Linked DNA regions of Callithrix jacchus. The protein of the gene in region 1 interacts with the protein of each later gene in a pairwise test. Links are inferred from orthologs where the notes say so. Each region holds a gene or a part of one and is shown on either strand. Other genes may lie near its edges.

Region 1 (3,572 bases):
CTTTCCCTTGGACATCACCAGTAGCTCCAGAAGCCAGTGATGACCACACAAGGCTGAAACCATGGTAAAAGAACTGTCCTAAACCTAATTTGTAAATGTAGCCTTTCAAAGGGGGAGGTTGGCTCCGGGGATTCAGTGACCCCCTAACAGCCTCCCAATGTCTCATTTCCACAGTACCATAATCTTACAGAAAAGAGGCAAACTGTTTAAAACTGTACCTGTACAGAGATGCCACCACACTGAGTGGGGAATCTATTTATAATTTATATATATATATATATATGCATATTTATATATTTTTTAAAAGTCTTCCAGAAAGAACAATTGAAAGCTATTGGGAGAAGAAAAACAAAAAGACAATGTAAAACTTTCCCAGCTATCACTCAACTAGGAGTCTCTGTTACTGGGGTTTAAAACTCTGAGTTGAAAGCGCCAATATAAATCCTTTGAAATAATATACCTGACCAATGTACATACACACATCAAGATGGCACGCTGACTGTCAAGAGAGCCCTTCCCACTGGCGCACATTCCTGAGTTCACGAAGGTGCTGTGGAGAAATGACAGAGCAGAAGTGCTGGCTAACAAATGTGAGGCAAGCCATCCAGAATTCACCACAGCCTGGGTGGAGCTGGGCCCTCACAGCCTGGCCTTGCTCAGAAGTTTTGCTGCCGCCTCTTCTTAGCCTCAATGGCATCCAGGATGGGCTGCCGCTTGGACTGGTACTTCTGCCGGATCTCTTCAATCTCCTGCTCCATCATGGGGTCCAGGGCCAAGAGCCTCTTCTGAAGGTCCTCCACTGTCCAACTCTTAAGCTAGAAGAGAAGTGGAAAGTATAGTCACGATAAAGCTTAGGCCGGTGGCAGAACAGTGGCGAAGCTGACTTCCCAGGCACCCAAAAGGAAGGGAGACAGGAGGTCACTGTTGGGAGGTGGTGGTTGAACAGTGACAATTTATTCCAAAGAATGACATACCTTGAAGCTTGTCTGAGATAATCTGTCCCTGGAAGAGTTCTAAGTGCTAACCTCTTTGATTTAATGTACCTTGACCAGGAACTTAGTGAATAATACTCTTACCTCCGCTAGCTTTTAAATAAATATAGATTCATTTTTAGGGCATTAAAATAACAGTAACTTGCTATACGTGAAATAATGGTTGCCTCCTGGTTCTTGTTCTGTCCACAAGATGAGCATCTGGATAGCACCCTTCACACTTTCAGGATACAATACCACGGAGGATGGACGCTGACGAGATGCAGATGCCAGCCCCTAACCCTGCCTTCCCATACCCCCAATGTCTTGGCACTGCCACATTATCATCACCAGCATTCATGTGAGGCTACTATATAGCAGGTAGCACTCTAAGCCCCTTGGGAATATAGACTCAACCCTTGGCAGAGGTTGGGAGTAAGGGTGGGTAGTTGGACAAACCTGAAACTTCTGAAATTAACTTTCTATGAAGCAGAGAAAAAAAGGACTAGATACATAAATTAATAATAATGGCTGGCATTTAGTGATTTCTATGCACCAGACACTGAGTGCTTTACATACATGGATTCCTTTAATCTTTGCAGCAGCCGACGCTATGAGGACATTATTATCCTTATGTTACAGATGAGCAGCTAAGTAACCTGCCCAACGTCTCCCAAATAGTAAGTGGCAGAGTCAAGACTGACATCCAGGCAGTGTGGCTCCAGAGTCAATGCTCTTAACCACTGTTACAGAAGAGCAGACTAGCAAAGCCCAGAACTAACTCAACCTTTGTTTAAAATGTGGTTCTGCCTGTTGCAGATGCCATAAGACTCTGACAAGTTACAAATCTCTCCAGGCCTTCCCCATCTACCGAAGTGGGACAGCAGTGCCTCATCTTATTTAATTATAAGAATTAAATGAGATCATGGTTGTGAAGTTCTCAGCACAGTACCTAGTGCACTGTGTGTGTAAAGATGGCAGTGGGTGTTACAAGCCTTTCTTTTCATAAAGGCCCAGGGGTGCACCAGTGTTCAACCTGTGTCTGCAGCTGTGGGGTAAGGGGCTCTGCTGCCATGTGTGAAGTGTTCACTGATTACAAGCCAGGCCAGTCTTGGCTGTCAGGGGTGGGAATGAATGCTGACATTATCCGCAGTGGGTGGTGATACTTTATTCTGTGTGTTCACAACCAGTTTTAATAGGTACAGCGTTTCAAGAACTCAAAGGCTCACCCAAGTCTTACAAGAGGGCTGTTGTGTCCACATTTAGAAAATCATGACCCTCAGCCCCTTTCTGTGGCCTCAACAGGAAAGTAGTATAGAAGCTGGGTGAAGGAGCCTCTTTCTGTCTACCCTTCCTTGAGTGGGTGGGGTGTGAGCAAGTATGAAGTGCTACAGTGGCCTTCCTAGAAATTACCTGTCACCACAGGAATTTTCCTTGGCCTGCTCCAGGGAGGGTGTCTGAGAAGTGGGAAACCCTAATAGTACAAGACGAAAGGTTCTTTGTAACGTGAGGATGGAAAGACTTGAGAGTGTGGGTAAATACTGGAAAGCTGGGCTGAAAAAACATGCGTCTTTCCAGCCTGTGGTTTTATACTACCTTAGAGGCTGGTGTTCTTGGCCCAAGGACATCCCAAAGAGCGGTGCTTGCCTAGTCTTTGGCATTTTCTATTCCTTCTGCAAAGAGAGAATTCCCCAAGCCTAATACTGAATGTAACGGGTAGTTAAGAATGTAATCTTTGGGATCACAGGTCCTCAATCTGCACTGGCTATTTAACCTTAAACAGTAATTTCGCCTCTTGAGCCTCAGTTTCCTCCTTTGGAAAACAGACAATACTAGTTTGTTCCTCTATCCTTCATCTGTACTAAGTCTTAGATGAGATAATGGTGTGATAATCTTTGCTCAGAACTTCACATGGGATGTGTTGGAGAGACAGTAAATATTCCATTTATGGAATAATATTGCCTAGTCTTTGGCATTTGGTACCACTCCTGGTACCAATTTACTATATTACTCTGTTTTAATATACAAGCTCTCTTCTTTTGTCTGCTACCATGTGAGACGTGCCTTTCACCGTGCCTACATTATGGAATGTAAATATTCCATAAATGGAAGTTATCACTGTTGTTATTGTTGCTATTGTTATTCATATCATTGTTATTGTATATATGATTGGTAAGTCTCCAATCTTCCATAAAGAAGCTGTTTCTATAACCTCTAATTCAAGCTAGAATGAAACATGTGAAAAAGAAAATATTCTATTCTATTTTGTGCTAATGCCTAAGGACTGGGACATAATTCCTGTTAACTTATTATGTACAGTTTAACAAAGTATTTTTCACCCATCCACTTATAAATACTCATTGAGCACCTACTCAATGAGTCAGGTGCTGTTCGAGGCACATAGGCTACTTCAGTGAAAAAAACAAAACAAAATCACTGCCCTTGTGAAGCTTACATTTTAGTGAAGCAAGGAAAACAGCAATAAACAGCAAATTAGTAAATTATTTTTACATTAGAAGGTGCTCTGGAAAAAAAGAAAATAAAAAATAGCGTGAAGGAAGGGGAGCTGGGAATCAGGAAGGTAGACTTGCTTTTCATCCA
Region 2 (3,572 bases), on another chromosome or scaffold:
ATCCACCCGCCTTGGTCTCCCAAAGTGCTGGGGTTACAGGTGTGAGCCACCGTGCCCGGCCCAAAATTGTGTTTTCTTAAGTTTACTGACATTTTGATTTTGGGGTTGTAGACACAAATGAACAACTTTTGAAAACTGCTTTTGTTACTTATTAAAAGGCTAATTTTATCCTTTGTTTCATTATAGATCTTATGCCTTCATTCATCCGGCATGGTCCAACAATTCCCAGACGAACTGATATCTGTCTTCCAGATTCAAGCCCTAATGCCTTTTCAGCTTCTGGAGATGGGGTAGTTTCAAGAAACCAGAGTTTCCTTAGAACTCCAATTCAAAGAACACCTCATGAAATAATGAGAAGAGAAAGCAACAGATTATCTGCACCTTCTTATCTTGCCAGAAGTCTAGCAGATGTCCCTAGAGAGTATGGCTCTTCTCAGTCATTTGTAACGGAAGTTAATTTTGCTGTTGAAAATGGAGACTCTGGTTCCCGATACTATTATTCAGACAATTTTTTTGATGGTCAGAGAAAGCGGCCACTTGGAGATCGTACACATGAAGAATTCAGATATTATGAATACAACCATGATCTCTTCCAAAGAATGCCTCAGAATCAGGGGAGGCATGCTTCAGGTAGCTTAACATATAAATACTATAGTAGTTTATTGACATGTCAAGTGAAAAGATGTTCTTTTCTAGATTTTCTTGGGGCACAAACTAATACTCCTAGCAAAATACTTTTCTACTTTGCTAGTCTTGCTTAAGCCTGTGTGCAAATAGTTGGTAATCTATACTGAATGAATTAACTTGTGTTGTATAAACCTGGTTCTTATCTCAAGGCTGTCTAGTCTCTTAATGCTGTGACTCTTGTAAACCTAGAGAATTTAATGTCTCCAGTTGGGTTGAATTTATGTTCAGATTTGGTAGAATAATGGGAAGGGTACATCTTCAGAGCCACTGGACTTAAACTTGGGAAAGGAAAGAATAGGAAGAATTGGGCATGCTCAGTGATACCGTGAGCAAGTACATTACTGCAGTTTTTCTTTGAACAAAACTGATTTAGTAGTTCAGGAATTCTTTCCTGAGTTGATCAGAAAGACTTACTGCCATACGGTTGTGTGTTGAGCATGTCTTTTTATTCTTTTTGTAACAGGCAAAAAATATTACCATATAATTAAGGAAAGTAAGGTACTTTTTATATCTTCTGACTTGGAGATACTTCTGAAAGAAGCAGAAGAGATTGGAGAAATGTACAGTTCTACTTTATTCCTAAAGTCCTGGTTTCACTAGATAAAATGAAGCAAGAAGAAAATAAAACTTTCTTGTCTGATTATTTTTTTCTACCAAGTAATAGACTTTAAATTTTGGCAGGATAAAAATAAAATATGAGAGAGATTTACTTTTTGGCCCACATAAGTTCAAATAAGGTGACTTTAAAAATGTTTTGGAGCATTAGTATTTTGACTGTAGAAAAATTTATTCATTTAGTATTAATTGTTTACGTGTCTAGCGTTTTCCTTGGGCCTGTTGGTCTCTGCTTTCTGGTACCTTATTTGTCTGGTACCTTCTTTGGGGAAACAAAACCAGTTTATACACAATGGTCACAAAGCAATTGTTATACTTTGTGATACTAACTGTAAGTGCAACAGGGAGTCAGAGAGATATTAGTGTAGACTGAAATACTTAAAGAGATGATTCATAGAAGAGGTTGGACTTGGACTGGGCCTCAAGCTTGGCCTTTAGATGAACAGGGGCCAGAAGAAGGACATTTTATGTGGAAAATTGGGAATAACACAATGAAAACAGAGTAGGCCTGGTTTAAATCTAACGAACAGTGTAGCTCTGCCTGGTTTGAAGAAATAAGATGTAACATGGAATGGAGATTTGTGGTTCAACAATAGGCTTATAGATTTGAGTCAAGTGGAAGTTATTGCACATTTCAAAAAGACAAGTGATTCTATGAAAGCAGTGTTTAAAGATTACTTTTGTACTAGAATTAAGGGTAGATTCCTAGAGAAAAGAGGATTGCAGGTACCAGTGGGTACCAGTGGTAATAGGAAAGGGAAATCTAGGACGTTTTTGAAGGAAAAATGAGAATTAGAGTTTAGGAGAAAGCAAATCACTGAAGTTTTAAATAACGTGAAGTAGTTGGTAAGAACAACTTATTTATGAAAGCTGACATCAGAGTCTCACTGGAACATTAAGAGCAGAGGTTTTCTGGGCATGTAGAAGTGCAGTAAGAGCCATGGGTGAGCACCTTTTCGTTTTTAAAGAATTAGGTTAAAGGATTAAGACAACTGCATGCTTGAGTGTTTATTTTGGTTGTTTCTGATATGCACTTCTGAACCTCAGGAATAATTTGTTATCTAACTAAAATAGTTTTAAAAAATAAAGCTCGTTTATATTTTCTTCTAGAATAATAACTGCTTATTATAGGAAATCTGCAGCAAAGTAAAGGCAGCAAATCTGCAGCAAAGTAAAGGCAAAGTACCCATCTGCTAGAGATCTCAGTATATTATTTGCTTCATTTTTTTCATGCCAAATTCTTTTTTTATATTGATGTGATTATATAATATTTTGTATAGTTTTCTGTTCTTGCTTTTTACTTGAATCATTTTCTTCATGTTGTATACTTTTTATGAGTAGTTTTAATGACTGTATAATCTTCCATTTGGTGCATATTCAGTGGTTAATGAAGGCTTGACCTGTACTTCAAAAATTTGGAAAGGGGAAAAAGTGGGTCATGCCCAAATTAATGGGACTTGACCACTAATGGGGTTTGAAGGACAAAGGAGAAAGAAGAGTCAAATAGGATTAGCACAGCCACATGACTGCCTAACAGATGCTTACAAAAATAAATGGCTGAATGAGTGAATGAACCGAGAGGTTTTAAATCTGGAGACTTAAGAGAGTTTTTGGTAGCTGAGGGGCAACAGAAATAGCCATGTTTACTGTTGCTATAGAATATGTGTTACTCTTTGCATTCACCTTTCCCATCTATATTGCAGACATCACTGAAAGCTTGTAATACTTTTCTACCTGAGTTATAAGTATGTAAATATGAAGAATAAATAATAAGTTAAACTTTTGTTTTCAAAATTGAATTTGCAAAATATAGTCGAGGAAATACTATAAGAACTAAATCTCTACTGATCCTTTCTTAGGAGCAATTTGACATAATTTTTAAAAGTTTAAAAACAGACTTTAAAACAACTTTCCAATAAAGTAAAAGTTAATTATAAGTTTTCAAATTCAAGTATGTCATTTAAAAAAATTTAGATTTCAGATCACTGATGAAAGAAATTGAAAAGCACAAAAACAAGTGGAAAGACATCCCATGCTTGTGGATCAGAAGAATTAACATCATTAAAATGACAATATTGCCCAAAGTAATCTACATATTCTGTACAATTCCTATTAAAATAACAGTCATTTTTTTCTTTTCTTTTCTTTTTTTTTTTAAGACAGAGTATTGCTTTGTTGCCCAGGCTAGAGTGCAGTGGTGCAATCTCGGCTCACTGCAACCTCTGCCTCCAGGGTTCAAGCAGTTCTCCTGCCTCAGCCTCCTGAGTAGC

The links. The genes of interacting proteins can lie anywhere in the genome.
Region 2: the proteins of STK4 (region 1) and SAV1 interact in binary tests that used the Homo sapiens proteins (3 or more experiments, as listed by UniProt). The link is inferred for Callithrix jacchus from reciprocal best matches to the Homo sapiens genes STK4 and SAV1.

Annotation. Positions count from the first base shown.
Region 1 is NC_133506.1:40,426,141-40,429,712, reverse strand, and holds part of STK4 (serine/threonine-protein kinase 4), read right to left. Parts: intron 816-3,572; coding exon 657-815; 3' UTR 1-656. UniProt on the Homo sapiens protein: Stress-activated, pro-apoptotic kinase which, following caspase-cleavage, enters the nucleus and induces chromatin condensation followed by internucleosomal DNA fragmentation.
Region 2 is NC_133509.1:85,225,866-85,229,437, reverse strand, and holds part of SAV1 (protein salvador homolog 1), read left to right. Parts: intron 1-186; coding exon 187-630; intron 631-3,572. UniProt on the Homo sapiens protein: Regulator of STK3/MST2 and STK4/MST1 in the Hippo signaling pathway which plays a pivotal role in organ size control and tumor suppression by restricting proliferation and promoting apoptosis.